Linked DNA regions of Bombyx mori. The protein of the gene in region 3 purifies or fractionates together with the protein of the main gene of each other region. This does not show direct contact. Links are inferred from orthologs where the notes say so. Each region holds a gene or a part of one and is shown on either strand. Other genes may lie near its edges.

What was found.
Region 1: the proteins of T-complex protein 1 subunit gamma (region 3) and DDB1- and CUL4-associated factor 7 purify together in Homo sapiens (affinity purification with mass spectrometry; 4 studies listed by BioGRID and IntAct, counting the BioPlex papers as one, with this or other methods). This does not show direct contact. The link is inferred for Bombyx mori from reciprocal best matches to the Homo sapiens genes CCT3 and DCAF7.
Region 2: the proteins of T-complex protein 1 subunit gamma (region 3) and telomerase Cajal body protein 1 homolog purify together in Homo sapiens (co-immunoprecipitation; 3 studies listed by BioGRID and IntAct, with this or other methods). This does not show direct contact. The link is inferred for Bombyx mori from reciprocal best matches to the Homo sapiens genes CCT3 and WRAP53.

Annotation. Positions count from the first base shown.
Region 1 is NC_085118.1:1,107,466-1,118,639, reverse strand, and holds the start of DDB1- and CUL4-associated factor 7, read left to right. Parts: upstream 1-5,295; 5' UTR 5,296-5,526; intron 5,527-5,689; 5' UTR 5,690-5,710; coding exon 5,711-5,772; intron 5,773-6,187; coding exon 6,188-6,290; intron 6,291-7,089; coding exon 7,090-7,225; intron 7,226-7,743; coding exon 7,744-7,994; intron 7,995-9,040; coding exon 9,041-9,166; intron 9,167-9,960; coding exon 9,961-10,142; intron 10,143-11,174. Other genes in the region: uncharacterized protein LOC134199889, read left to right, coding at 1-1,432. UniProt on the Homo sapiens protein: Involved in craniofacial development. Acts upstream of the EDN1 pathway and is required for formation of the upper jaw equivalent, the palatoquadrate. The activity required for EDN1 pathway function differs between the first and second arches.
Region 2 is NC_085124.1:10,449,804-10,461,044, forward strand, and holds telomerase Cajal body protein 1 homolog, read left to right. Parts: upstream 1-1,773; 5' UTR 1,774-1,910; coding exon 1,911-2,347; intron 2,348-2,964; coding exon 2,965-3,153; intron 3,154-3,501; coding exon 3,502-3,662; intron 3,663-5,136; coding exon 5,137-5,426; intron 5,427-5,647; coding exon 5,648-5,911; 3' UTR 5,912-10,938; downstream 10,939-11,241. UniProt on the Homo sapiens protein: RNA chaperone that plays a key role in telomere maintenance and RNA localization to Cajal bodies. Specifically recognizes and binds the Cajal body box (CAB box) present in both small Cajal body RNAs (scaRNAs) and telomerase RNA template component (TERC).
Region 3 is NC_085127.1:10,945,540-10,956,122, forward strand, and holds T-complex protein 1 subunit gamma, read right to left. Parts: upstream 10,040-10,583; 5' UTR 9,922-10,039; coding exon 9,891-9,921; exon of another isoform or gene 9,890-9,890; intron 9,818-9,889; coding exon 9,756-9,817; intron 9,665-9,755; coding exon 9,488-9,664; intron 9,362-9,487; coding exon 9,164-9,361; intron 8,659-9,163; coding exon 8,534-8,658; intron 8,035-8,533; coding exon 7,839-8,034; intron 7,011-7,838; coding exon 6,856-7,010; intron 6,258-6,855; coding exon 6,089-6,257; intron 5,348-6,088; coding exon 5,255-5,347; intron 4,340-5,254; coding exon 4,225-4,339; intron 2,844-4,224; coding exon 2,668-2,843; intron 1,800-2,667; coding exon 1,674-1,799; 3' UTR 673-1,673; downstream 1-672. UniProt on the Homo sapiens protein: Component of the chaperonin-containing T-complex (TRiC), a molecular chaperone complex that assists the folding of actin, tubulin and other proteins upon ATP hydrolysis.

The DNA.
Region 1 (11,174 bases), on a different chromosome or scaffold from region 3:
TCCAACATCCATCGACCTCGATGAAACTAATCCATACATTGAAGAAATCCTGAATAACCAAGAAAATATCTCTGAATTCCTTAATGAAGAAAGAACCTTACATTCATTCCTTAACCTGAATGTTAAAGATAAATCTTATTATTTTTTATTCACAAAAGTATATCATTTCGACACTCCTCAGTACCCTCAACTATTTAAATCCTTACAAAATCTCCGAAATCATTTACTTATAGAAAAGGACATTCCAGTGAATATTGCTATATCAGACTTTAATGATCCATTCTTTAAACCAACTTATTCTAAAATATATAACATTCTTGCTTTTTTATTCCACAACACAGATATTACAATTAAAATCTACAAAAACTCAGTAGTTTTTCCAGCCCCTAGCGAGATTTCAAAAATCCTTAAAGAAAATCATGACCTTCCCATCGCTGGTCATGTAGGCACATCACGAATGTATAATCGTATTAAAGAAAAATATCATTGGAAAAATATGAAATCAGACATTGAAAATTATGTGAAAAAGTGCATACAGTGTCAAACGAATAAGGCGCTAAGACAAATAAACAGGCAACCGATGCAGATAACCTCTAGTTCAACAGCCCCATTTCAACGCATCGCCTTAGACATCGTCGGACCATTACCAGAAACTGGTCAAGTTAAGCTTAAATATATATTAACATTGCAAGACGACCTAACAAAATACTCTACTGCCTACCCTATTAGTAATGCCTCAGCCGAAGAATGCTGCGAATGTCTCATACATTTTATATCTCTTTTCGGAATACCAAAAATAATATTAACAGACCAAGGTACAAACTTCACCGCCGACCTTTTTAAGAAAACTTGTGAATTCCTCAAAATCAAACAATTATGGTCTTCGCCCTACCATCCTCAAACACAAGGAGCCTTGGAAAGGAGCCATTCTACACTAAAAGAATATTTAAAATCATACGTTAACGAAAATCAAACCAACTGGCACAAATATGTTTACACCTATGTCCTAGCCTACAACACTAATGTACATACTACTACAAAATTCACACCCTACGAATTACTCTTCGGCCATAAACCCTATCTACCCGATTCTATTTACGATCCTAGTCCTAGTGGTACCTATCATGAATATGTTAAAATGCTAAATCATCGCCTCAAATTAACACGCGATAAAGCTTTAGAAAATATTCAGAAATCAAAAGAAAACTCCAAAACCTATTATGACCGAAGGTCTCGCCCTTCCACGTATAAAATCGGTGATATGGTATATCTAAAAAACCACTTACGTCTACGGAAAGCATTATCACCCTTATGGAAAGGACCATACAAAGTGGTAAAAATACATGGAAACCACACACTTTCCCTTCTCATAAATCGACGACACGTAAGACATCATTATGATGAAATTAAACATGCAGAAGTTGAAACCTAATAAGTATGATTGTGTAATTAATATGATTAATTATTTTATTAGTTTTATTTCCTCTCTAGTATAACTTAACTCAGTAGCCTTTAAGTTAAAAACATTTATCGTAAAACATAAATAATAATAAATACATTCTCTTACAGCCTGTCGGCACCATGTCAAGGCCTATCACGCACTCGAGAAATTACCAATATCGAACAAATTACGAAAAGCCCTGGCATTTACTTTAATCCCTCGGGATCTGTTAGGATAATTAGTGATTATTTACATGTATTAGTACCAATGGACATAGACTACATTAAACCCCATATAGATAACATTCAGACGGTTTTGCATTCAGCCAGATACTTCTGTACTAAAAACAATGTGGTTGACGACCTAGAGTGCGAGAATATGTTCATGCCCCTTTTATCTATGTTCAATGATATCTCAAGGGACTACCACGCCATTTCTCATCTTATCCAAAGTAAATCAAAGAGGTCTGCGTGGATTTCCGGCATCGGCACTATTCTTAAACATATAATAGGCACCATGGATGAGAATGATGCTATAAGGTATAATAAAGCCATTCAAATACTTAAAGATAATAATAGAAAAACTCTAGATTTGATAAAAGAAAATATCCTTATCTCCAAGTCGGCAATTATAACACTCAACGAATCCATAATTGAAATCAACACTAATGAACATAAATTAAACAAAATGATTGAAAACCTATCTTCCAGTATTAAAAACCTAACAAAGGCAAGTAATGCCTTGTTGTTTAAATCTACAATACATGACATGATAAATGTTATTCAATCAAATATGTTAAACTTGTCCTATAAACTAGAAGACATCATAAACTCAATTTTGTTTTCAAAAACCAATACGCTACATCCATCAGTCATAACACCCAAAGATTTGTATTATGACCTTGTTAACAATGTTAAATATCTACCTAGATATTCGGAATTAGCTGTAAGTTTAGAATTAGAAAACATATATGTACTTATAAATCTCTCGGAAATTATTACATGTATTTTAGAAAATAAGCTTATATTTAGTCTTAAAATTCCTCTAGTACTCATTGATACTTATACTTTGTATAAGACAGTACCTATACCAGTACCCCATAATGTAACATCCAAATCTTTTGCACTAATACTACCTACATGTTCTTATGTGGCCTTAAATCAGAGAAAATCGAAGTATCTTAAACTCGATAATCTTTCTAAATGTAAATCTATTAATAAGGAAACTCATATTTGTAAACAATTAGATGAAATAGATATACAAGACTACCCCATCTGTGAAACAGAAATAATGACAAAAGTCTTGAAATCACTTCCGAAACAGTGTAAAACTAAATTTTTATACGGCCATGCCAACATATGGCAATCCTTAAATAATAATAGATGGGTCTTCACACTATCTGAACCCACTAAACTCAACATTGAGTGCACAGACGAAACTACCGAATATATAGTTTCAGGAACAGGCATATTATCCCTGAAACCAAACTGCACTGGATTCTGCAAAAACATAAAATTAATAAGTAAAAGTTATCCTGAATATAAATTCAGTCACATACACTCAGAATTCAATTTAGTAAACGATACATGTTGTAACCCAGCAGTGTTTGAAAATTATAATTATACCGAATCTATTACAGGACTGCATAACTTAGAATCGAATAATTTAGACCAAATAATCAACAAAGCTGATAACATGCTACAAACCTTAAAACATTTAAAATCTCAGAACGAATCTATTTCGATAAGCACTCCCCATTCCATTGTCACATACTTATTTGTAATACTATTTGTTATTTTTATATGTTATTATTTTTGTCATAGAAAGTGCGTGGCTTTTGTGCGTAAATCTAAACCAAACGAAAACACGACGCAAATAAACACACCCCCACAAGAAAATATTCAACTAAATACCCAACCGCGAATAAGAATCCATTAAACTTTATATTAAAATAATCATCGAAAACTTCGGAAAGCCGTAAGTTTTCGCTTAAAGGGGGAGCTGTTATAATATTAACTAGTATATTAATTAATTTACCTAAGACCGAAAAGTGCCTCTAGCAGCACTTTCCGGCCTAACATATACTAGAGCCCCGTTGGCTCGATGTCAGTCACTCTGCGTCGTTACTATGAGCCACACTCTTTCTAAGTAGAATTTTGTATCTTCAAAGTGAATAAAATCTTTTTTAAAAAGAGTTTTTCAAAGTCCCGTATAACAGAGCGCATTCCATTACGCTAACCCGACCTTACGAATTCAGCGCATGAACGCCATTACTTCGGTTAAGGACGAGTCACGCTTTCTTTGTTACCACACTGGCCACTGCATTAGGGACCAGTTACATAATAGTTTACCAGCGTAATAAATAATAATAATAATAATATAGCATCCATTATGGATTTGGTTCGGATAGCATTTGCTGATTTCCGAACTTGGAATGATATTAATGATACAATAGACTTAACTTTGTATACCTAAGTGGCCGACATTCTAAACCCGTAGAATACGGATAACGGATACAGAACTATCCGTTACTTTAACAATTCCTGAAATTTGATCAGCATCGATGGAAGGTGTAATTAACTCACGTGGATCATTATGGGACAAAGCAGTCATAATATGTTATATTTTAACTGTTTTGTTTCTTTATTTTAAAATTTAGTTTTAGTTTATTACAGATTTAGGCTATAAAAAATTAATTGGGGCCTTCGTTTTCATTTTTGAAGATTGTTATCATGTAATCACGTTCCGTTTTCTATTGCATCTGGTTTCTAGTTACCACGAAATGGGGAACACACAACTCAGGCGAGCAGACAGACGCTCTTCGAAACGTCATGGCATTCGAACAAAGCGCCTAATAAAAAGTTTTACATTGCCAGTGTACTTTATTGCTATTAATTAAATTCGGGCACTTTAAGTATCTATAATAATCTTTAACATAGTTATGAGTTAAAAAGTTATACAAACTAATAAGTCTGTCCTTAATTTTTAATTAAGAAACTGAGACTGCCCAGGTATCTAGGCAATAAAAAAATATTATACACAATAATAGAAAACGTAAGAAATTTAGAACCTTTTTACCTACGATATCAGATCAGGAATATGGAAATTCGCAGGAAAACCGTAATAACTGACATAGCCGAAGGAATTGTGAGATTGAAGTGGGCAGAGCATTGCTCGTAGAACAGATGGCCACTATGGCTGAAACGCTTTCGAGTGGCGACTGTGTAAAGATGTAGCTTGGGTGGAGCTCCCACAAGGCAGACCAGCTACCTGTTAAATATAGCGGGAATCCGCCGAATGCAGACAGTGTAGGACCGGTCGTTGTGTCGAGGCTTTGGGGGGGCCTTTGTTCAACAGTGGACATCTGTGGATATTGTCGTTTATTTAACTTTCTATACATAGCCTGGTTTTACTACTCATTCAGTTTCGAATAGGTAGCTTACTCATTATTGAATTTTTACCAGGCATATGTCTTCAAATCCAATTTCGTCTTATTGCAGCCAATTTAATTTATTTTTAAATTATTTCATTTTCATTCATAAAATAATTTTCATTACACTTTTTTAACAACTAACAGAGATTCGACATATACTAAAGTAGGGACCCGCCCTTGCTTCAGAAACTGTAATTGATTATTGATTTCTCCACTATTTAATGGATGTTATTATACATATAAACCTTCCTCTTCAATCTCTATCTATTAAAAAAAGCGCATCAAAATCCGTTGCGTAGTTTTAAAGATTTAAGTATACATAGGGATATAGGGACAGAGAAAGCGACTTTGTTTTATACTATGTAGTGATGAGGTTTACTCGCAGATGCTAAATTCCCGTTGCCTAGTCAAAAAACGAAACGAAAAAAAATTAAAATGTCAGATTGTCCTACTTGCCAGTTGTCAAATTTTGTAAAAATAATGCTTCATGCTTGTTTTCTCCACACAAAACTAAGTTTTTAGTTAATTTCCAATTATAAAATACATTAATTGAAGGTACAGAAGCTCATGGACAGTTCAATATTTAAATAGGTATATTTAAATCAAACATAACAAAGCCGCTTGGTGGCCATTCTGTGATATTACGGCAAAGGTACATAAAATATATATTTTTTGTAAATTTAAAACCATATGTAAAAATCTAAAAAATATAACTTGAAAGGTATGAAAACTTACGTACTTGAAAGACAAAAAAAATAAAAAAGTCACTATTCATTAAAATTTCATATAAATATCATTTTGATTTGTGTTTTCAGAAACATTAAACATTATCAGTGATGTCGATGCCACACAGCAGTTCGAGTACCAGTTCAGGCACGAAACGTAAAGAAATATACAAGTAAGTAACGTTACAACACAATATGAACTATAAATAACAGATTGGAAATAATTGACAGTATAAAATACAGAGTTGACCCAATTTTGAGATTGCTAATTATAATTAGGTATAGCGTGTTATTTATTTCTGTACCCATTCCTATGTTTCGAAACATTTGTAATACAATCAAGCAGGCATTATGGGACTTACTAATTTAATGCTTTAGATGTTTTGAAATATACAGATAATCCTTTCACAATTCCCGAAAAGAACTAAAGTGATGTTAACAAATTGCAAAAACAGCCTTATCTTGATAATTACGTACGAAATTTGAGTTGTTCATACAGTTAGGTTAAATTCTCATAAACGAAGTTGTGATAAAAAAAAAACACTATAAGCTAGACAGCTGCATTTCTATGTCACACATCTTTTACAGATACCAAGCGCCATGGCCATTATACTCAATGAATTGGTCTGTCAGACCTGACAAGAGATTCAGGTTAGCCCTGGGCAGTTTTGTTGAGGAATACAACAATAAAGTAAGCTTTTACAGAGCAGTTATTATATTAATTTAGTAATTTACAAAACATACCAACAGGATTAAGTAAATACAGTATAAAGGCCCAGATAATGAATCATGCAAAGCTAATGCAATTTTAGGGAAGTCAATTTGTCAAAAATTTCCCACTCATTGAATTATAAAAGATAGAGGTGTGTGCCTTATAATCTATAAATGCATAATATTACCAAAGAAAATACACAATAAATTACATATTTTTGTTGTTGTTCATTTTTCAGTAGTTGACAGAATTGGTAGGAGCACTTAGTTTGTGGAGGCTGTTCTTATAGACCAAGTAGACAAATACAGCAAGAAAAAAAAAATTCTAAGTAATTATTGGTGCATAATATTACTTACTTAATTCCACCATTAAATTAGTAAAAACTCAACTACATACTACTAATTAGTTAATTGTTTAGCATAATATACAAACATATAGTAAGTAAACCAGGAGTTCCCAAGATATATAACCCACTTAGACACACAATAACTTGACCGCAAAGGTTTTAATTGGTGAGTATGTTGTATGAATAGGAAAAGAACTAGGGATAGGGTTTTTTAAATAATTTGGGTATGGGGTTTTGAGGTATCAGTTCATTTTAAAAAGGGGTCTGCCAAAAATTGTTTTATATTACCTAATATAAATGAATTTATTAGTTTTCACTACATTGAAGGATTTTTAGTGAAAACTAATATATTAATGGTTTCATTTAACACACATACTGTATTGTAGCATTCCTTGTGCATGACATAAGCTTAATAAAACTCTTAAATCCTAGGTACAAATAATTTCCCTTGATGAAGACACAAGTGAGTTCACTGCAAAAAGTACCTTTGATCACCCGTACCCGACCACCAAGATTATGTGGATACCTGATAGCAAGGGGGTGTATCCAGACTTGTTGGCAACTAGCGGTAAGACTTCGGTAGCAGTTTGTTAGCACTAAGATTACCATATTTAATATGGAGATAATGAGGCTTGAATTTACTTTTACACTGCTACATAGACAAAAACATATACTCCCAAAAATAATGCTTACAATATCATCTCTCTCTAGAGAAACAGTATTCATGATAGTCTTTGAGCTCCATAAACCACTGAATTGTACTTAACTGAGCCTGTCTATCTCCTTTGTCGTCATATCACTCTTGTCAGAGCGGTTGTGGTCGTCATTCAGCATCATTGCTGAGGGCAGATGTTATGCGCCTCACAAGCAATCGCTACTCCTCCCGGTTTGTGGTGAGCCTGGTACACTCATGCAAACAATAATAATCAATCTACATAAATAAAAATAAGTGATACCCTATGAGTACAATATGAATGATTGTGATGTTAATAGAGGCAACTTTCGTTGACATAAACAGTTTTGATAAATAATCAAATTCAAGTAAAACTATTCAATAAAATTTCACAATGGTGCCTTATGTTGCAGGTGATTATCTACGCATATGGCGTGCCGGAGAGCCGTACACATTATTCGAATGTGTCCTAAATAATAATAAGAATTCTGACTTCTGTGCTCCTCTTACATCCTTTGATTGGAACGAAGTGGATCCTAACCTCATTGGCACCAGTAGTATTGACACGACCTGCACCATCTGGGGCTTGGAGACTGGACAGGTCTTGGGCAGGGTCAATGAAGTGTCTGGGCACGTGAAGACTCAGTTGATCGCTCATGATAAGGTTTGTGATTTTTATTTAATAGAAGATCTTGTTAATTCATTTGTGTCCAAAATTTATGTTAATGATTATCTGAAGATTATTGGTGTCTTCAAAAAATTTTCGTTCTGCGAATCTAGTATAACCCCTCGAGGTTACAAGAATATGTTGAAAAAAAAATTTTTTCAAATCAATGTATTCAAATATGTTTAAATCACTTATTACAATTTTGACATGATACATATTTATCAAACTAAAGAATTGCAGGATTGAAATGGGCATGTTACATACGTGCCCGATTTCATAATGATCACATAACATTTTAAGTTTTAATGTAATCATAAGCATGTAGTGTGAAGTATATTCAAGGATGCTCACAACAGATACTAATAGAATTTTATTCTATTGGAGATTCCATTAAAAATCTATTAGCATACACAAAACTGGTGGTAGGACCTCTTGTGAGTCCGCACGGGTAGGTACCACCACCCTGTCTATTTCTGCCGTGAAGCAATAATGCGTTTCGGTTTGAAGGGTGGGACAGCCGTTGTAACTATACTGAGACCTTAGAACTCATATCTCTAGGTGGGTGGCGTTATTTACGTTGTAGATGTCTATGAACTCCGGTAACCTCTTAACACCAGGTGGGCCGTGAGCTGGTCCACCCATCTAAGCATTAAATAAATAATAATAAACAAAGCCGAACGTATACGCCCCTATCTGGTTTTATACACCTTGACATAATACAAGATGCACTCTGCGTGTACATCTTGCTAGACACTGTAAAGTGATGGTTACTTGAACAATAATTTGTCCTTGTCTAACTCGCCTTAGAGAAAGGTGGCTGAACAAAACTTTATATACATGTGGGGGTATACGAAAAAAAGGTTCGACGGTCCGAATGTGGTCGTTCGGAACCTGCATATAGGCAAGCTTATTAAGCTATAGCAAGCTTGAAAATGTCGTAAGCGAGATTCGGGCATCAGTCAAATATCTTGTGTCGTGTGATGGCTACCCGCCACATGCAACTTCTCGCGTACGGCAGCCCTAATGCCGGTGTTTGTGCGCAGGAAGTGTACGACATAGCGTTCAGTAGGGCCGGCGGGGGGCGAGATATGTTCGCTTCCGTGGGCGCCGACGGATCCGTCCGGATGTTCGACCTCAGGCATCTAGAACATTCCACCATCATTTATGAGGTAAGTACAGGAGGCAGTAAGCAGCGTCTTTCGGCGCTCGTGCATGGGCGCATACTATCATTATTTGGACATGTCTCCCGGCGAGTAAATGACTCCATAAAGCGCCTTATCGTTCAGGGCAAAGTAGAAGACACCAGACCGCGTGGAAAGTTGCACATGCGATAAACTGACCAGGTCAAGTCAGCTATTGGCGGCTGTTTGCCTGAGTGTACCAGGCTCACCACAAACCGGGAAGAGTGGCGATTCCTCGTGAGGCGCATAACATCTGCCCACAGCAATAATGCTGAATAACGACCACGATCGCTCTAACAAGAGTGATACGACAAAGATAAAGATTCAAGAGGCCTGCGGCACGAATGACTAACACAATGAAGGAATGCCGCGTTAAGTCCGAGTTAGTTGACCATGTACTGTGGTAGTAAGACGTCTTGTGAATGTGCACGGATAGGTACCACCACCCTACCTATTCTTGTTGTACTGTGAAAAGTGAGGCCTTAGAACTCATGTCTCAAGGTGGGTGGTGGTATTAACTTTGTACACATCTATGGATTCCGGTTACCCCTTTAGCACTACGAGGGCCGTAAACAGCAAAGTAGAATCGGCAAAATTGCGGAATTTTCACTGTAGGTAGTAAGATCGATATCACAGATCTGCAGTATCGGGCTGCAAAACAGTCGTCTGTGAGGACCCGTGCAGTTTGCCTGTGAGCGCCACGAACTGGTCTGATCGTGTTTATGTTGAGAAGCTGCTGTCAACATAACAAGTCTTATGGCAGACTGTAATGTAACACGCAGGACCCTCAGCACACCCCGCTGCTCCGCCTGGCCTGGAACAAGCAGGACCCGAACTACCTGGCCACCATCGCCATGGACGCGTGCGAGGTGATCATACTGGACGTGCGCGTGCCCTGCACCCCGGTGGCCAGGCTCAACAACCACAGGGCGTGCGTCAACGGCATCGCCTGGGCGCCGCACAGGTTCGTAGGCCAGGTAGTAAAGTAGGAGCATCAAGGTTGCTAAACAAGCCCATCCGATATCTCCTCCTCTGGGACTGTGTTCCTCAGCGCATTATACGCAAAAGATAATTTGCGTAATGACTGGTGGTAGGACCTCTTGTGAGTCCGCACGGGTAAATACCACCGCCATGCCTATTTCTGCCGTGAAGCAGTAATACGTTTCGGTTTGAAGGGTGGGGCAGCTGTTGTAAGATAATGTAATACTGAGACCTTAGAACTCGTATCTCAAGGTGGGTGGCGTATTACGTTGTAGATGTCTATGGACTCCAGTAACCACTTAACAACCGGGTGGGGTGTGAGCTCGTCCACGCACCTAAGCAATAAAAAAAACAATGTTCTTGTCGTCAAGTTCTTAGAACTCTTCAAACTAGACTGTGCAGCCGAAAACACCAACTTTTGTTCTAATTCAGTCCGTAAGGTATGCTCCTTGTATTGTGAACGGACCACAATAATATAAATAATAGTTTAAAAAAAACAAAAGAAACGCTTTTATAGAAAATCCAACTAAAAAATAGAAAACAAATTTTAATAAATTTGTTTTTGTTGTGTTTGTAAATGTGTTTTTTAAAATAAAATCATTTTTTTTACACTATTTTTAATTCAAATTTATTACAATTTATTTTATATTTTTTAGTTGGATTTTCTATAAAAACGTGTTTTTTTTTATAACTTTTTTTTAAACTATTTTTATTTTTCATTTTTTAGTTGAATTTAAAAAATTAAATTTTTTTTTTTAATATTAAAATGTCATCGATCCTTAATAAGTATGCCAAATTTCGAGTTAAACCGACGTTTTGAAGGGGGTCAAAATCACGTTCAAAGATTCCGATACAAACTAACATACATACGTCTCATAAAGCTTATTAATAAATAATAATTACAAAATTTTAACCCTCAGACACAGCCCACTGAGTTACTCGCCGGATCTTCTCAGTGGGTCGCGTTTCCGATCCGGTGGTAGATTCTGCGAAGCACGGCTCTTGCTAGGGTTCG
Region 2 (11,241 bases), on a different chromosome or scaffold from region 3:
ATCTCTTAACGCAATGAATGCATTGATTTCTTTTTTATTATGTTTGATCAATGATCTAGCAGGCAGTAGCAATTGTTAATTAGTTATGTCGTTAATAATAAATTACAATTTGTAATAACGTCTTACGACCAACTTATAGCAAAATACACAACCAGTTTTCACAAATAATTAAATATACTAAAACAGAAGAGAATCCCTGCGATATTTAGGTTTTATTTTATTGCGAACTTTATCACATAAAAGTAAGTATTTTTGTTCGTTTCCGCTATTTATAGACACAATTAAAATTACTTTTACGATGTAATCTCACGTTTTTTACTGACATTAAATATACGACATTTAATTTTTGAATACTTTACAGTTTTCATGGTCACTGACGATATTTTAATGATGATGTTTTCTTGATTACGATCTTGATGATGACAATAAAAACCGCGAGATTATACCTTAACAGTAGTTTTAATTACTTAAAAATGTTCTTAAAGTTTTTAAACTTATATTATCAAAAGATTAGAACTATTTTTCATATGTTTACTGTACGAGTAATCACTGAAAATACTTTATAAAAATATATTTCACTTTCATCAATGTACTAATTTGATCAATAATGAATAAAGGTTATACCTACCGTCCTTGAACGAAGATAATAAAAATTGCGAGATAATATACTTTCCAAAGTAACTTTTTTGACTGCATTTCAGTTAATTTATTTTGAATTAATTGAAGCGTGACGTGTACAACCATTGAGTGAATTTTGATGATATTTTAAAATAAAACAAGCCACGCCACAGCGCCTTTAGTTGTGTGAGATCTGAATTTAAATACATAAAACATATAATAAAATCTCCGTGCTAACCTGCCTGAGAGACTTTGCTAACATCTACTGTAGCAAGAGTAGTGCTTTATTGAATTTATTGCCGGATCAGAATCGCGACCTACTGATAAGATCCGGTGAGAAACTCAAGGGTTGTGTCTGTGGGTTAATGTATAGTTGTGGTGTCACGGCGGAGCACACGTTCGCATACTGCCCCGCTTTCGCGAAGCAGCGCCGCACCCTCGTTGCAAAAATAGGTCCGGACTATGTGCGGCAGCGACGAGCCCTGGCAGGCGATGCTCGACTTCTGTGAGTCCACCATCATGCAGAAGGAGGCGGCGGAACGGGGAGAGAGAGCTCTTCTTTCCTCTCGGCGCCGGGCCACCGCCACCGAGCCGGGAATTGGAGGAGGGTGTTCGTCCAGCTCCAACCCCTGTGAAGAAGCAGTCTCCTCCCGGTGATGTTCACGGGGCGACCTGAGGTAGTCGAGGTTGCGCCACACGCTATTGTCACTGTAGCGTGCTGGCATGTGACGACGCATCTTCGGAAGCGGTCCGCGATGCGGTCCGCATTGCCGTCGTCGCTGTCGTCGTCGAACATACTGTGGAAGAGCAACCGTATAAGGGGCAGGGGAGTCGTTTAGTGCGGTAGGGTCCTTAAATAATTTTGGACCTACGGTCTGCTTCCAACATCTGCAGATCGTCAAGTCTCATATACCCTGCGTGCCCCCTAGGCGGGGGAACCTCATGGGAGGTTCAGCCCCCGGCCCCAAAAAAAAATTATGTTGTTATGTATGTACGACCGTTCTTGTGATTGATCATTCCCGATCTCGAGATTATATTTCATCCCATATCATCTCATTTCATTTCATTTCACTCCATATAATTATCATTTTTCATAAAAATAAGAATATTATAAATTAATATAAGACATGACCTAAAGATCTTAGTTACCAGGTCATAAAATCCCTTAAAAAAAAGTAAGGCGGTAAGGTCGATTGACGAACGACGATTTTGTTTTTATTTTGAAACCGTGAGCGGAATAATTGTCAATTTGTTATACATAATCACAAATTGTGTTGTGATCTACCTTTATTATGGAAAATTGGTCAATGGAGACACCATCAAGAATAAACGCTGAAAATATACCTCAAACCATAACTCAAAATCCGAGTGAACTTACATTGGGTTCGGCGTGTACAGAAAACGCTTTTCAATATCCAGCATTATTTACAAGCAAAAGCTTTCTTGAATTGTCCACTTGCTCGTGGTCAAGGGGTCGTAATGCTAATGAGAATATACAGCCTTATTTACGTGGATGTAAGTGGTCCCCAGATGGAACCTGTTGCTTAAGTGTTGTCAATAACGATGGTGTTCATGTTACCGAGCTTCCTAGTGAATTGTACCAGGGCGTTGTTTGTGGCGATCGTATAATCGATGTCTTAGAATCAGTGATACATTTAAAAGAAACAGGTTCAGTTTACGACTTCTGTTGGTACCCATTCATGAACAGCACAAATCCCCCTTCCTGTTGGTGAGTGAGATTTAAAACTCAATATTTGGTCTACAATGGAATTGATGTAAATATAAAATATCGTTACTTAAATATCAACCAATCTAAAAATTAAAAAAATGCTCAGTGCCTTATGACAAAGGTGTACAACCAATGTGTTTTACCAGTGATGACGTACGGTTCTGAGATATGGTGTTTCACAAGGGAACTTTTTAAGAAGCTTAGTGTCACACAGCAACCTATAGAGAGGGCTATGTTTGGTATTTCTTTATGAGATCGAATCAGAAATGAGGAGATCCATAGAAGAGCCAAACTTGTTACATAGCCCTAGGATTAGCAAGCTGAAGCGGCAGTGGGAATGCCATATAGTACGAAGATTGACAGCCGATGGGGCAGAAAAATCCTTAAATGGAGACCACGTACTGTCAAGTGCAGTGTGCCGTGTACCAGATGGGCTGATGACATAGTGGACATCAGTAGGAGAGGCCTATGTTCAGCAGTGGACAGGCTGAGATTATGATAAAATATCAATTTTAGTTTGTCAGTAAACATAATTTCTCTTCCTTTAAAATAAGGAGCTGAAATAGATTTCTTAAGAAATGCCTAACTTTCATGTAACTCAATAATTTTATTGACAGCTGGTTAACAACAAAACAAAATTCTCCCATACAAATGTGGGATGCATTTGATGGATCACTCAGATGTTCATACAGAGGATTCAATGCAGTAGATGAAATGGAACCAGCTTTATCAGTTAGCTTTACCTCAGATGGTAGAAAAATCATTGCTGGCTATAAGAAGCATTTAAGAATTTTTGATGTTGAGCGGTAATTCTTCATTATCAAATTTATCTTAAAACTTTAATTTCATGCTCAGTGTGGGTATTTAAGCAAAGCTTAGACTTGCTAATAACTACTTTATATCAAGGCAGGAAGCTTTTATCGTATCTATACTAATATAAAGAGAATTTGTTGTATGGAAGTAAAATCTTTTAATATACTCATTAAGTTAGTAATGTGCTCAAGATAGACAATTTTTTTATTTCTTTGATTGGTATACAACTAGGTTTTAAGTGATTACTAGAGCTCATAGACTTCAACAACATAATTGTTGCAATCCTGCCTGAGTTCTAGGTCTATTTTATTTGCTTGTATATTAATCAGTAAATTTTTTAGGCCTGGCAGAGAATTTACTGAGCAAAAGATTTCTAGTTCAGCATCTAGCATTTCAACACAAAATAACTTAGTTGCTGTTGGTTCTTGGAATACAACAATAACTTTGTATAATGAATCAGAAATTGGTACTAAGAAAATTGGGGACATGTATGGACATGGAGGTAAATAGCACTGAATAATTGGTGTAACGTTTGTTACATATTGTTATATATATACCCAATACCTATATATACCTAATCCAGCCATAAGTTCTGTTTCAAATGAAAATGTTTTTTTTTTAATGAAGTAAAAAGAAATGAAGTCAGCAAAAAATAAAGAAAAATATTCTACTTGAAATGGCCACCTTTGGCTTTTATACAGGCCTTTAATCTGTTTGGCCATGAAACTATGAATTTGCGCACTGTTTCCAAGGGAAATTTCACTGCTTGCTCCAAAGGTTTTTTAAGACTCAATGTCGCTGTATCGCTTAGAGCAGGCCATGTTCTCTAAAACTGACCATAATTTCAAGTCTAATGGTTGAGGTCTGGGCTCGGTGAGGCTGGACTTCAGCTCTTACAAAGTCTGGAACATTGGTTTCAAGCCAGGCTTGGGTAGTTCCTGCCTTGTGACCAGGTGCAGAGACATGCGGGCCAGTCCACAGTATATTTTTAAAAAGTGTATTGCTGAGAGGTTTTACAGCATAATCCAAGACATGGATACATGGACAATGATACACATTGACTGAAGTTTTCACTTTCTTTTTCACAAAAATATAGCTTGTGATTCCTTGATAAGACACGCCCCACCAAACCATCACTGATGCAGGATGATGACCACTTTGTACCTTTCCTACCATTTCAGCAGCTTCTTTAGAACTGTGAGTGTACACTTTATCATTTTGTTTATTGCAGTGTTCTTCAATAGTGAAATTTTTTTCATCAGTAAAGAGAATATTTCTGTGCCTTTCACCTGCATATCGCATCAAAAGGCATTTTCATTTATCCAATCACTTTAATTATAAAGATTGATTTAGGGTATATCCTGCGAGCTTCAGGTCTTGTTTTATAATACGCGACAGAGTCCTATCGGGAATCTTCATTTCTCGCTATAAGATATTTTGCTGCCTAATTCGACGGATTCTGGCTTTAACAGCATTAAGCCTTTGTAGTTGTAACAGGACGCGGCTGCACCGATCTTTTCTGGTCTTCGACAGACGAAGTGTTGTTTTATCTGTTGATAGTTCGATGTACCAACATAATGGCTGATACCTAGCATTTGAAGTGTCTGGAATATGACCGACGGCTCAATACCCACTTTGCGCAAGGCGATCACTGCAATCCTATTTTCCTTAACACCACATTCCTTTGTCATTTGATAATGAACACGAAAAAATATCTGAAATGGCGCAAAATCGAAAGAAGTTTTTAAAATAATATACATGTTCCAAATACAAAATAATTAAAAAGTTGAAAAAAAAGAAAAGTTTTTATGTAACAGTATTTATGGCCAGACTAAGTTATATAATAATATATAGCACAACAAGTATATATTTTTATCAGAAACCTTAAATCCTTTAAGTGCATTCATAATCATTTAGCATATTCATGAATATTCATTTGGCTTTGCGAAATGTTTTGATTTTTTCTATTGCTTCAGGTGGAGTAACGCACATGAAATTCATTCCTGGTACTTTGAAGCTTGTTTCTGGTGCAAGAAAAGATCACAGACTGTTTGTTTGGGACATACGGTATTATAGGAAACCACTAAACATTCTGAGTAGAGTTGTAAATACGAACCAACGAATTTATTTTGATATATCACCTTGTGGAAAATATTTGGTATCGGGTGGTACAGATGGAGTGGTAAAAGTTTGGTCACTTGATCATATAGATTGGCATTCTAGTTTAGATCCAGTTAATAATACAACTGATGATGTTACTTATAAGGTATTATTTTTAATTATATTAATAGCTTGTGTGCTTTATTTTAAAAGCTTTTATTGAAAAAGAGTAATTGAATAAATAGTTTAATTTTGAAGCCTGCATGACATCACAATTGTACAGCTACTGGATGAGATTCTATTTTACTATTTAATGAATATATTGCTTACATGGTAATTAATTTGACGGCTTAAACTCTATTTTTGACTTGACTTTTTCATTTTCAGTTTCCTTTATACAAAGATTGCTGCAATAGCATATCAATTCATCCATATAGACCCATATTGGCTACCGGATCTGGTCAATATCATTTCACAGACCCGATAAAATCTTTGAGTGAGAAAACGAATAATGAAGCCGTAGATTCTAGTTCTGATGATTCTATTAACCAGTATGATATACGATACTCTAGTCACAGTGAAAATTGTTTGACGTTCTGGTGGACTGGGGATGTTATAGAATTAAATAAAAACCTACGTCGTTGTGTTTAAGCAGATGAATCTTTATGTATTTCAATTTATACATTTGTAGTTGATGTTGTGTGAAAAAATGAATGTGATAGATGAGTTTCCACTTTAAAAAAATTTACATGACTTATGTTGACTCTGACCTTCAAGCCTTCTCTTTTCTTATGTTGGCTGGCAATCAAACTGAAAGTGTCAAAAATCTTTGTGATTTTTTTTGGTTCAATAGTATTTATCGAGTAGTCTGATATGTAGATATGAAGAATATTTTTTATATTGTCTACCCTATTTAAATACCCCCTATTTACAAGTATAGTTAAAGTGAAAGGTTTTCAACTATAAAGTTGAAAATAACGAAGTTTGGGGTTCCCGGTCTACTTATTATCATTTAACATTTTACTGGTGATAGGACCTCTTGTGAGTCCGCACGGGTAGGTACCACCACCCTGCCTATTTCTGCCGTGAAGCGGTAATCAGTTTCGGTTTGAAGGGTGGGGCAGCCGTAACTATACTGAGACCTTAGAACTTATATCTCAAGGTGGGTGGCGCATTTACGTTGTAGATGTCTATGGGATCCAGTAACCACTTAACACAAGGTGTGCTGTGAGCTCGTCCACCCATTTGAGCAATAAAAATAAAATAAAACATTCCGTTTATGACCTACATACAATAATTTTATGTTGATAAACACGTTAGTTCGTTACTTAACAGTATCAAACAATCGAATAGTGGACTTTTCCCAAGGCTAATTCGGTTTCCGGCAGTAACAAGTAGATCGATAACATGTCATTGTCGAAAGCAAAGACGATTATGAAAATTTGCGCAAACGTTTATTTTTTAAATCACAACTACCAAAATTTTGTTTAGTTATGATATATGTATGTAAATACTTATAAATTGAGACTAGCCCTTGCATAAAGTCCGCTTAGAAATGTGCGAAAAATTGGCAATCTATTGGCCTATCTCAACCGCAAAACACGTTTTGGATTAAAGGGTAAAATTTAATAACTTTTAGATCTTGTAATGATAAATATTCGAGCAGATTTTGATAAAAATGTTTGGTAAGTTATACGCGGTGTAAAATGTAACTACCCTCGAAGCTGCAACAAAGGTGCTATGCAAATCATTAGCGAAAATCGGGAGACGAAATTGATTTCGGGAATGATTCGCTTCCATTGATAGATGGAAAAATGTGTTGAGAGTGAAATGATCGGACTGAATTTTAAATTTTGACTTTTGAGTCACAATTGCGAATTGCATAAATTTAATTTAAGCCCACGGTATTCCGTTTTCGGGCAAAAATACTTAAACATTCCTTCAAAAATAGAATTTTGTATTGATAAATGTTCGACTGACTTAGAATTATTATCCCATTTTTCTAAAAAAAAGGGCTTAGGAACGGAATGTTCGTGAAAATTGAGTGCCAATTTTAATCTATTGTACTTTTCTATACATATAAGTACTGTTATCACTAATGTTAAGGAAGAAAGAGGGGAGTGACGACAAAAAACGTGTAATGAATTTAAAAGTAATTGTTTTTTGCTGGCACATAGCCGCGACTTAATGTGATCTTTAAAAGTTTATTCTTTTTATTTGCCAACTGATCGTAACAAAACACTTCAAAGATAGTATATGCTTATCAAAATTATCTAAGGCCAATTCGTTCACTCATTGGGGAAACGACTAAGTTGTCCAAAAAAAGGTGCATAGACTAAAAATAAAAATTATCTTTATGATTTTATTTAATAATACGTAGACATAAATAACATATTATCAGTTCTCTTTGTAAAGGATTTTATTTCATAATACGTACTTAGACATAAATAAAATATCAGTTCTCTTTGTAAAGTTTTGTCGACGTCATCCATGGAATATGATAACTCGATCGATTTGCTGACTGTAGTCCTCAGATCCTTGTAAAGCGGCTCAGTTTTATTGCCACGCCGAGACCTTTGGCGTCCGTAAATCTTTATTAAAATGTTTTATGACGATTGCCTTATACGCGTTCAATCAGTTTCGGATTGTTGGGTTCAATCGAAACGTAACTAATACGATATATTACTCAAATATTTAAACGTTTTGTTTGTTTGAAAGCTTATCTATTTGCAACCTCTTTTTCAGGTCTTCGTCTATATATATGTAATAATGATATTATATAGGATAGTATTAAATATGTATTTTTCACGTGATATTAAATATTACATGAAAGTGTCGACGATTACAAGATCCTCGTCGACATGCTTGATGAAATTTGATGGCCCGGTAGGCTTAGTGATTAGTGACCCTGGCGACTGTACTACAGAATTCAGGTTTGATTCCCGATCGGAATCTATCTTTGTAAAATTTATTAGGCATTTTTTGCACATATATTTTTTACATGTATAATACAGGAGAGGACGATATCCGGAGGCCGTTGATGGCCTAGAAAAATAGAAGCTAGTAGAGAGATGATGCATGTGACTAGGAGATGTATGGAAATAGCAATGCAAGGTAGAGGGGGAAGAGGTCGACCGAAGAAGACATGGATGGAGTATGTGAATGACGATATGAGAGACAGAGAGGAGGGAGTGTCAAGATGACGGCTGAGAGAAGAGAATGGAATAGAAAAATTCGCTGTGCCGACCCCACCTAGTGGGATAAGGTGGAGAAAAAGAAGAAGAAGAAGTTGATGGTTTACAAAAAATCATGTAAACTTCAGATCACGGCATCCTGGGTGACTACGATTTTTGTTTGTTTGTTGAGATTATACCAAAGTTAGGGAGAGAGGAAAAATGCGCGAAACCTCAATCGAAACAGACGAGGGGTCTGTTTCGATTGAGTTCTGTGTCAGTCGAGGTTTGGACAAGGCTCGTTGAGCGATAGGGGCTTTTAGTTGGTTCAACTCCGAGACTGCCAACCTATCGTCTAGTTAGAAGCCTAAGGATTTCCTAACGAACCAAAAAAAAAAAAAACGCTCTGAGAATTAAATTATAACTATGTGCTTACGTATTGATATAAGCTTGCGTGTTTAAATAAAAAACAAATATTGAATGTTAACGAAACCTTATTATTGCCATTCCGGTTTTGTGACCACGAATACCGAAAGAACTACTAATTATTCGCACGTTAATTGAAGATGTCGTACAACTGCGTTACTTGACTATATTTTAATTGAAATTGGTTTGAATTCGGAATCGAGGAAGTGACTATTTGATAGGAAAATTCAAGCATTTACTAAAGTGTTAATTATGGTAAATTAAAAGCTTTTCATTAAAAACTATTTATTTAACTATGTAGGTATGATATGCCTACTATATCTAAATTTTTCTGGTAGCTTTTTATTCTTATCGCGTATAGTAAAACGATATCTTTTTTAATCGATTTCAAAAAAGGAGGATGTTCTCAATTCGACGTTTTTTTTTGTTAGATACCTCATAAATTTTGACTGAGTGAATCGATTTTGATCACTCTTTTTTTATTAGAAAGCTGACGCTTCCCGTGTGGTCACATTTCAATTTAGTCCAGTTCTGATAATGGTGGTAGATGCATAACTCAATATCACGTCAACCGATTTCGATGATTATTGGTTTTTAGTGTATATATTTTTTTGGAATATCTTTTTTTTTCTATTTGATGTTGGGTTTTGTTATGTCTATTTACAATTAATTAGCATGTCTATTTACATTTATTCCAGACGGTGCTTAACAATTAAGAACCTAATGTGCAATAAAACAAGGGCACGTATGTGATATGCGTTCACGAATTTCAAAGAATATTGAAAGGTGACTTTTTGTCTTTTGATTTAAAATTTTCTACAATATAGGTTCTCTTAAGCCTTTCCCGGGTATGGTTAAAAATACGGGTATGGGATCTCGCAAACTTATATTTTTCTTCTATTTAAGTGTCCCAAAAATATCTACCTCGCGTAGACAATGTTTGACCGTTGGCACGTATGAAGATTTGACACTTTGAGTTCAAGGTGGGTCATGGGATTCGTACTGCAGTTACTGCGGGATTTGGTAGGTATTTGCTTAACACATGACACATACAAAATTAAGTAATCTTCGTCGATCTTAAAATATTTTCACGGGTGTCTATTGTGAATAAGTTCATGTTATATTCGAACATAGGTATAATAGTTGTATAATGGACTGACAGAAATAGAACTGAGACTGAAGAAGTACGAAAAATTCAGTAGCATTGAAATACCAAAAAATCTAAGAAAAAAGTAGGACTGACTGGGATCCGAAAGTGACAAAAAAACGAATGACACTTTTTACAAGTCAGCGGCTGCGAGGGTAATCCCAGTCGGCATTAATCTGGCTTACACGAGAGAAATTTGCAATTTTGTTTCCTGCCCTTTATTATCTAGCCGACCGACAAACGTCACTTCTTTGTGGATTATTGTTTGTGGACTGCGACGGATCATTTATTCTGTTAACATAATTGGCGCGTTGCCTAGGCCACGAGGGCCATAAGTTTGGGGTTTTCATTGCCTTAGAACGAAAAGGGGACAATTACTTGATAGGGAGTGGTCGGCGTCACTCACCAGCAATGCCAGGGTTACAGCTAAGCCGCTGCTCTCCGCTGAGGACTCTGGGGAGTGTAATGTGGAAATAATAGACAGTAACAACTGCAAATAGCACACGATAGTCATAGTATGGGTTCGTTCAGGTTGATTTATATTTCGTGCGTGAAAATTTGATCACAAAATGTAATGTTTTTTCAAAGTTGATATAATTAGTACACGGCGGTAGTAGGGCGGATATACTTAATACATGATTTTAAATCGTAAATTCAAAGCAATCCACGTGATTTTGGCAAATCTTTTACCCTGTTTTGGGTAAAGTTCGATTATGGTTTCTAATTAAACTACGAATCCTATAATATTATATTTACATAGAAGTCATATATAAGTGATTTTAATAGACTGTATTTTAAGTTTACCAATTTAATAATATAGTTCTTTTATATAAATATCCTTAGAAACTACGTATGTATGTTAATGCGAAGTGTAATTCTAGTCATTGTAGTTGTATTAATGTGATCTCTGAATAAATATTTGATATTGTGAACGTGAGATTTTCCTTTCAACAATGATTCAATTTCCGAATACATACCTACCTGGTCCTGTGGACTGAATGGTAAAAAGTCGCAGTCGCCCAAAACACGCCATTTAGGATCCTCCTGATCCACTATCGGTGCTTTTAGGTACCTCAGGGTGTCGAGGATGTATAATGGGTATGTCAAGCCGAAATCGAACTATAGTTTCAAAAATGCAGATCACGTTAAAAACGTCTAAGCCGTACTTAGTTTCATACAAAAACTAATATTTTAATTGTTTCAACTGGTTGATGATAACCCTGGAATTGTACAAC
Region 3 (10,583 bases):
AAGATACATTAAACCAATAAAGAAAACATTACACTACCATGTCTTTGACACAGTAACATATACTCTTAGTTTATTGTCAAACTTTTGTTATTATAAAGTCTGCAGTCAAATTGAGAATAGGCTAATATTGTTTATCTTTAATATTACGAGTATTTGTCTATAGTGTAGTCTGTTGAAACATATAATTTCAATTAATTATAGTCGAATCTCGACTAATGCGGGAACATTAGTTATTTTAAATTTCCAAGAAAATAAATTGATTAAATCATTTTGATTATTATTTTTTCCAAAAGTGCCAAAATTATAATTCACAAATAATGAATGAACTGAATTTGTTGAATTATCAATTAAACAGAAAATTATTTATAAACAGAAAATTATTAATAAATTGATTATATTGAGCAATATCAGACTAAAAAATATATTTTTATTTTCAAAATTTTGCCACCCTGGGCACTTGCCCCGACTGCCCCTAGTGTAAATCCACCACTGGGTGTCTACCCCACTTACTAAAACACTCAATCAAATCATAGGATTGTTGTTCCTATCAATGTGAATTTACCCCTACCACAAATTTGGGAAATTAGAAGTGGTAAACAAAAAGACATTTACAATTTCGGCAACAGAGCAAAGTTGCTGCCTATCGATTCAAGGGTTCATAAATAAAACAAATTTTTAGTTTATAAAATGTTTAATACTTTTGTTACATATTAAGATTCCAAGAAAATAAAATGCTCACGGTGCTGACGACACTAACACTAGTCAGCGCCAGACAAAACTAAACTATAATCCGAAAAAAAAAAGACAACTTTTTCAAAATACATTATCATAAATAAGACATTGTAATTATAAGACAAAAATATAAGACAAGCATTTGTGATCGGTCTCACTTCCCGTAGTTAAGATTATTAAACAAATAGTTAGCTAGCGATAGAAATTCTAAATCCTTTGGGACATAACTTGAAATTCTCGGCTGAACTGTCGATGAAATGTTGCCAGTGTCAAAATTTAACGTATTTCAGCAGTGCACACTCAATCCGTCAAAACAAGACTAAGTAATTTTTGAACATGATATTTGCTAAACTCATAAATCAAATATTAACTGATCGAAATATAACAATTCATATCGGTTTTCACATTACTGAACTTAGAACTGAAAGTAACATTAAAAATATTTTATTGAATTCCTGTGAACCTTGAATTAATGAAAAAAAAACAACACCGATGACAAACTAATTATCCTGACTGACAATTTAACTCACAATTTGGTCGGTTTAAACTAAAAAAATCAAATTGATATTCAAAAGACATAATATATTTGGATATTGGGATAAGGGTAAGAAAAAGATATTTTTTATGGCCCTTGTAGGCAGAGGAGAGCCCATGGACTTCAGCAATGCCAGGAGCAGAACCAGGCCGCTTTCTACCGTTAAGTTCTCTCCAAATCTATAAATCAAAGAGAGCACTGACCTGGAAAGTGTCTGGAAAAAGGAAGAGAGGCCGCCCCAGAGCAACTTGGCGTTGCTCGGTGGAGCAGGAGCTAGGGGTCTTGGGTATGACGTGGGAAGAGTTAGAACAGACTGCCCAAGACCGTGTAATTTGAATGACATCTGCTGAACTACGGTCAAGATTAGTCCCAAAAGCGAGCTTAAATGCTAATAATATTATGTAAGTTAGTTTTCTTGTGCGGCCATCTCGGCCGGCGCCGCGGGCTCGTTGTTCTTGTTCTTCTTGGAGCCCGACACGATGTCGTCGATCCTCAACAGCAGGATCGCTGTTTCGACGGCTGTTTTGTACACCTGCAGTACGAATTTCATTTTAATGTTATATCTTAATGTTTCATTTTTTAATAGCATAAAAGATTCGTCGTATTCATCGTGTATTCGGAGGCTAATTGTATCAGAGCGCCGCTCATGAAACAAACGAACAAATTAAGGAAGTGTTAGGCAACGGCATGGCATTTGTCATTTTAATAAGGAACGGTGATCACTCGCTCTTAGGAGGTCACCGGTCACCGTTCTCGTCGAACCAGTTGCTTGCGACGAAGGGCTTGACGAGTAAATTAACCCTCAGACACAGCCCACTGAGTTTCTCGCCGGATCTTCTCAGTGGGTCGCGTTTCCGATCCGGCGGTAGATTCTGCGAAGCACGGCTCTTGCTAGGGTTCGCGTTAGCATCGTCGTCAGGTTTGAGCCCCGTGAGCTCACCTACTAGTTAAGGTTACGCTGAAATAGCCTTTCAAGGCTCTCAGGTAGGTAGGTAAAAAAAAAGCTCTTAGGAGATCCGTATAGGCTTCGTCTGCGATAAAAATGGGAGAAAAACCTGGCGACCTATTTGTTATTTTGATATACACTATAGTAATTGTTATGAAGCGTTGGCGTTTTTTGTTTATTGTAAGTCATTATATGTATTCATTTTAGTTATATATTTTGTCTGTCTCATTGAATATGGCGTCTATTGCATACAACTTAAATAATTTTGATCCCTATTGACGTCTTGATGATAAAGCTATTAAGATCTAAAGTTAAGTTTCAATTGTATTGTAAAACGACCGCTTCAGCCTTCAAACTGGTACTCAAAACTGATTCGCGGCAGAAGTAGGCAGAACCGCGGTACCTAGCCGGGAAGGCTACAGTGCATAGATGCAGGATGGTGTGGTCTACGGACCTGCAGTTTAACGGCGAGCGGCTCCCAGATCCCCTTGACGGCCATGTCGACGATCTCGCCGGTCTCGCCGTCGATGCCGGCGGAGGCGAGTCCGGCGGCGTGGCGCGCCCGCAGCGCCGTGAGCGTGCGGATGGTGTTGGCGCCGCAGTTCTGCGCCAGCGTGCGCGGTATTATCTCTGCAACACAATTATACAAATTCGAGAGACTTTTTGGCGGGAACGCGAGTAGTGAAGTTGTGTGATTTGTTTTATTTTGTCTATTTAGTGTTTCTTCAGGTTTAAATGTGTAATAACGGTGGTTTATTAACTGTTTAATATCTGTGAAAGTGCACAAATGTGGGAAAATGTAACAAAGCCGCTGGACATAACTTCTCGGGATCCTCCAAAAAGTCCACTGGAAAAAATGTCAGTAAACGACCATCATTTTACTGAGATTATATTTCATCCCATATCATCTCATCTCATTTCATTTCATTTCATCCCAGTTGATCTCAAATTAATCATCTTAATTTTATTTCATTTCATTTCACTCCATATTATCATTTTTCATACAATTATGAATATAAATTAAAATAAGATATGACTTAAAGGTCTTAGTTACCAAGTCATAAAATCCCTTAAAAAATAAAAATAAAATACAAATTCTAATGGTCAGTTCAAGTTTTATGTGCCAACCGCCTTCAGTGCGAATTTTTTAACGTTCTCGATAGCGTAAAAGTTAACTCATGTTTGTATGAAATCGTTTGCGTACGTTTGCCGCTAGGGGCGCTGTTCCAACTGCATACAAAATTGGGTTAACTTTTACGCCATCGAGAACGTTAAGAAACTCGCACTAAGCACGCGGAACTCTGGCATTACGTAACGTTCTGAGCGCAGTGCAGCCTGCAAGTATTAAAATCTCTAGAGATTCATATTCTAAATATTAAACTTAAATTTTTCCTATTTACTTCTAGTATTGAAAAAAATCAGAATTATTGTTGTGTTCGCATTATCTACAATACAAAAATGTAAATATAATTTTATCATTCACTGATCGTAATGAAGTTCATAAAAATCGGCCATGATATTGGCAGAATATGCGAGGATCAAACTAAGCAGATTGATTAGATCTGTATATGCCAGTTGTTTTGAGGATCTTCCGCCTTTAAAGGTTTGAGTAAGGGTCATGGCACACTATGCAAGCACTGCAACGGCACCGCTTCAGCCCAGTGAATAATAGCTTGTCATTTGAATTTGATCCTTAAATCGTATGTCGTATAATATGTTTCGTAACGTCGGTTGCGATATCGGGACAGTGGTGGGGAAGACCCTAAATCACCTCGTGTATAATCAAATCGTAACCCGATTTTTATTGTTTACCATAAACTCTAAAAATCGCTGGGGCGAGCTCACGACGATTATCCCCACCACTGCCGTCCCGATATCGCCACTGATTTTAGGGTCGTGCGTAGGCCGCTTGAAGCTTCTTTCATAGCGCATACGTTGTTATGGACACGTTCACAGTGTACTGTACTATATATTATTAGCTAAGCATAGGTATACAGCGGGGTGCTAGTACCGAGCGCGGTGGCGACGGCCCTGTAGGGCGTGTTGTGCGCGGCGCGGTGCGACAGCGCGCTGGACACGGCCATCTCCGCGGCGCCGCCCCCCGCCACCAGCCGCGGCGACACCACCTGCACGCACAACATTATATTATAATCAATTTCAATACCATCATTATGTATTTGTACATGATGGATATATCGATATCATAATATGGGCAATTTAATTCTACCACTTCAAAAAATTCTGTAAAAAAAAAGGTAAAATAAACAACCTTTTTAATTATAACTAGCGACCCGCCCTCGCTTCGCTTCGGAAACATTAAATTTTATTATTGATAGGCGAGTCCCGCCATGTTTGGCGCGGTACGACAATAACTGCGGGTGAGGCCGCGGGGCGGAGCTAGTCTAAAAAAAGTAGCCTAAGTTACTCCTTATATCATCAGCTACCTATCCGTGAAAGTCCCGTCAATATCAGTCCAGTCGTTCCAAAGATTAGCCGGAACAGTCAGACAGACAGACAAAAATTGTAAAAAATGTTATTTTGGTATATGTACCGTATATATATTCATATGTATGTAGTAAAAAGAGGCTATTTCAATATTACAAACAGACACTCCAATTTTATTTATATGTATAGATATTAATTCTGCAATAGTAAGAAAATGAATAACAATATTAAACAACTTCATTTTAAGTACACAAAATAATTATATTTACCCTAAGTACTAACTAATAACGTATCTCTAGTATGAGTTCTGTTTAAAATCATTAGGACAGAATGGGCATTTAAAATAATAAATTAACACTTATATTTGTTTTGTATTACATTTTGAAAATCAATCATACTTTTAAATGTGGACATTTATTGGAATTACCAAATGTCTTAGTTCTCTCTTTTTTTAATCATACAATGACTTTATATAATTATATAAAATAAGAAAGATTGTATTTTTTTTAAACCAATGATTTCTTAATCGAATATACGATTCGAAAAAAAAATGCAAATTCATATACAGTAGATAGATAATGTGTCAATACACTTACCAAATTCTTGGCGACGTGTAAAGCGTCTTGAAGATTCCTTTCAATCTCATTCAGGACATCCTTAGAAGCACCACGGAGTAATATTGTGCATGCCTTCAAAATGTATTTTTAGATTATTATTCCATTTTATTTTACTCATTTTCTATATTCATTTTAATAGTTGAGAGGAGAAAATGCATATCGTTAAACTATTATTGTAATACTATGAAATTATTGTTAGGTATACTATTAATCACTCCAGGTCAAGGAGCAAGCGCAAGACAGGGTAAAGTGGAGACAACTTGTGAGAGCCCTATGTACTAGCGGGGTATCCTAGGACAACAACAACAATACTATTAATCAAGGTAATTTACGCTGCACTGTCCTCAGTAGGTCATTGATGCTCTTTTTTATTGTTTAGATAGGTGAACGAGCTCTCGTCTCATGTTAAGGGATTGCAACCCACAGACATCAACATCAATGTTGTCATCGTCCTTTATTATTTAACCAGACAATTTAACACTCACTGTTATCATGTTTGATGCATTAAGAATCGCCAAACATATTAAACACTGTTTAATAGTGAGTTTATTTTAAAAAAAAAGATGAAGTAGTAATAACATCTACTATTTAAGTGTTTGTGTGTTTTTCTTCCATACATTCTTAATGCACTTCTTCAATTGTTTTGAGACTTGGTAGCTGTAGCTGGTACTTCAGGGAATAATTATTTTACAGTACCAAGACATGACAGGTGGTAAGTGAATAGTTTCAAGAAATCTATGTCTTACATACAAGTAATGATAATCACAGCAGAATGTGAGCAGATTAGTGATTTAAATATAATTAATTTAGTACCTTGGGGTTCTTGCATTCAGTGACAAAAGTGAAATATTCATCTCCGATCTTCTTGATCTCAAACAGTCCAGCTCCAGTGCCGACATCGGATTCCTTGAGTTCCTCAGTACGGTTGACAATTGTTGCTCCACACGCCCGCGCTAGACGGTTGTTGTCCGTTTTACGGAGTCTAGAATGATTTTCAATTAATTAAACTGAGAAATAAAACTTTAAAGGTGTCTGCTCAATACTGTAATGGCAAATACAGAACTGAACTCAATAATTCTATCCAATCATATCGAAAATTTAGTTTATTGCTCACAAAGCGGAAATAGTTGATTGAATGTTAAGTGGTTACGAGTGTGTGAGTTTTATGATCTGCATAAACCTCAAACCCTCACTGCACCCTCCACATAGGTCATCTATCAAGTCATAGTCTCAAATGTACCAGAATGTACATGCGTCAAATGTACCAGAATATCTTTATAATCAGAAAGCATGGTGATTTACTGTGTTATAGTTACATTATTGTTACTACATTACATTATTATTACTACATTACATTATTATTACTACATTACATTATTATTAGACATAGTATTATTTATAGTTACAAGACATAATGATAGCATGCTCAAAATAAGAGATACCACTAGTTAGTGTGGTACTTACTACCTCCAAAAATGTGTTAAATTATTACTACCCTTTTATTAAAGCAGCACATCAGTCACAATGAAACAAAACAAAGAAGGCTTTATTCACATATTATACAATGTGAAAATACATACCTGCGGATAGCAGTAATTCCAGCCTTAACAAGGTAATGTTGTGCAAGATCTGAAACTCCCTTTTCGGTAAAGACAATATCTGGTTTAAGTGCAATAATTTCTTCACATTGACGCTGTACATGTTCCTCTTCTAGTTGTAGCAGTTTAGTGAAGTCCTATAATAAATAAAATCATGTTCGTTATGATCAGTCAAATTCTACATTCTAATCTATGTATATATATAAAAATGAATTGCTGTTCGTTAGTATCGCTAAAAGTCGAGAACGGCTGGACCCATTTGGCTAATTTCGATCTTGAATTATTTGTGGAAGTCCAGAGAAGGTTTAAAAGGTATATAAATATGAAAATACTCGGAATTAAATAAAAATAACTATTTTGTTTTTCCTTTGATGTGTCTTCCGTCGGACGGATTCCTTTTGTTTGTTTTAAGTTTATTTTATACAAAAATTTAGGTCTTTTACTTATAGATTGAGGCACTACGAAGTTTGCCGGATCAGCTAGTATTCAATATAATAAGTCTAGAAATCAGGAATTTTCCATAGACACTAACTACCCATTGGCAATTACACAACAAAAATTATTCACTGGGTATTGTGGCAACCACTTTAATGTCAGATCAGAAATTTAAAAAGACACTGCCATATCAACCATTGTTTTTATTCAACATACAAATGTCTTTGTCAGACATTGTAATATTCCATGTCACTTTGATTAATGTAACTTAAACTTCATGTAAAGATGGCCAATATCATAATGCATGTACTCGCAATGGAAGGAATTTCTCAATCTTTTTGTTTTTCGAATTACTCTTCTTTTTTTGGTTTAAATTGGCAAACCTACAACCCATGTCAGCCAATCAAATGTTGGCTAGGTGTTGGTACATGAATTCCACCACAAAGACATGAGGACATAGTCTCATTTGTATTGAATTAATGGGTCCAATTAGTAATTTTAAAGTATAAAACTTGCACAGTATTATTTACCTGTTCACCCATAATCTCAATGTTGGTCTGACTCTCTCCCTTTTTGTATTCAAGTGGGCAATCCAACAGGATAATGCGCGGATTTTCAATATACCTCCTCATCTTTGGATGGGTTACATCCTTGTTGAACATAACACCGCTGAGTACACGAGACTCTTCAACTGTGCCACCTGGGATCTTTTCCACTTTTGCATAACTGTAAATGATTTATTAAAATTGTATTTTGAGACATATGTGGTAAGTTTAAGAAGACAATGATAAAAAAATATATATTGTGTCACATACAAAATACTATCTTCATTTCATTAACTACGCAGATACTTCATTTTGGTCCTTTTTTGTTTCATTTTTTTACACTCTTATATCATAGTACACACTACTTCATCTACTCTCCTTAGCTGATTTTGGCCAAGGTGTCAACTTTAACTCTATTTCTAATTGTCAAGGTATTTTTTTTTTTCTATTTTATCACATCTGGTATTTGTTGTCAAAAATGATTCCTTGATATATCCTTACTTTGTGAACTGTTATATAAACTACAATCAATGGTATACCTTGACCATCACATTGGTGATATATTTAGCAACTGTATCCCAGCCAGAGTCAGTCAGTATATTTATTATAAGCCTTTGATATCAAGTTGTAGCTTTTGTGAAATTATTTTGCTTTTCTGTATAAAAATGTGTAATACTTACTTTTTAATGTCAACCTCAATTCTGCCATTATCATTCACAGTAACAGTATTAACCGCATCAAGAGCAATGTCTACGGCAAGATCTGCCCAACGACCGATGTACTTTGTTCCAACACATGAACGAATCTGTTAATAAATTTTAAATTTATTGCCAAATAATGGATATCAACAATACATATGATGCAATGACATAGTCAAGCACCGGTCTTCAGCTGAGGATTCTCCTCAAATGTCAATTGAATAAGACCATGCTATATCACTCAAAGACTGAAAATAGCCCAATCCATAGTTGCATTTTACATAACATAGTTGTTTGGAAGAATTCTGGTTTGGTGATAGGCAGTGCAGTGGTAAAAATATCATGGGATTGTCCCAAATAATTCCATAAAACACTCCCCAAGGAAAATAAAGTATAAACTATAAAGTATAGAGTACTGTTACCCCTATTTTAGAAAAAACTTTTTTATTTTTTTAATTTTTACAGTCCAATCATTTGTAACACAACTATCAACAAGTTGCAGCATGTAGCAAGCGTATTTCAAGTCAGGGACTGTAATGATTTAATTTTGTTTATATCAACTATTTTACTTACGATTTCAAACTATTTACTTAAAACTATTATTTTACTTACAACTTCTTTCATCTTATCTCTATCATTCAAATCTACAGGCACTGAAATTTTGTCTTGAAGCAGAACTATAGCATCCTCTAAAGCTTGGCGGTATTCTCTGATGATGACTGTTGGATGAATATTCTGTGTCAAGAAAGGTTCTGCAATCGCCAACATTTCTCCTGCTAGCACTATGACTGATGTGGTTCCATCTCCAACCTTCAAATAGATAAGACTCAATTTCATAATTAGATGCAATACAACACAGACACTCAAATAAATAATACTAATATTAGGCATTAACAGATCATGGTACATGATTATCTACAAAAATCATTTTCTAACCTCTTCATCTTGGGTCCTTGCGATTTCGATCATAGATTTTGCAGCTGGATGTTGGACTGTGATTTCCCTGAGTATAGCATTACCATCGTTGGTCATCACGATGCCTCCCATAGGGTCCATTAACATTTTTAACATGGCCTGAGGTCCGAGGCATGTTCTTATAACATCGGCTATGGTCTAAAACAAAAGTAAGTACAGGTTTTTTTCGCGTTTTAAATCAAGTTTATGGTGAAAATTTTTATATTTTCAAGTTTCTTAATTTAAATACCTTTCCTGCACTAATATTTTCAAGCTGAACTTTCCGGCCGGACTCACGTTTTGTATTTTGGCCTGAGAAACGAATATGATGAATTAGAACGTGTTTCTTGATAAATTTATCATATTTAAGTGTTAAGATACTCACTGAGAACTAATATAGGTTGCTGTCCATACATTTTGAAAAAATTAAATGTGTTTTATTATTTAAATTACAAAAACTTCTTCCAGAAAATCGGTGCCCAATGACAAATTTATGAGAGACAAGAAAATCGCGTGTTGATCTTAGTTGCCACACTGAAAAAGAACCATAGATTACATTTCATAAAAAATAAAAAGTTTCTACTTAAGCTTTACTTATTAGATATGAAATAATTAATAATTGGGAATTTAATTGTTTTTATGATCGAACAATCACCAATAGTCATCGAACAAACGATAATTGATCAAAATTGATTTGAGCAATAAAAATAAAGATATCTAATAAAAGGGGCCAACTTAAAGGTGATCATTTGTTTAATTAATTATAAATAAATAAAAGACGAAGAAACAATTTTTACATTCGAACATTAACGAACAAACGACGAGTAAGTTACTAAAAATAAATAAAAACCGAAAATCAAAAAAGAGGAGACAAATTCAGTGAGCCGTATGGAGGGTAGAGGTAAGGAAACCGTCTCTGTTGTGAAAAAGTGTCCGTTAAAATCTGCTAAATAAGGGTGGCGCCATAGTAGCAACCAGGTAAATTTTAAGAAAGGTGTTGAAGTATATTAGAATAAGATAGAGAAATAAAAAAGGACAAAAGAACTGTAAGGTACAAAATCACAAAAAGTATTTTATT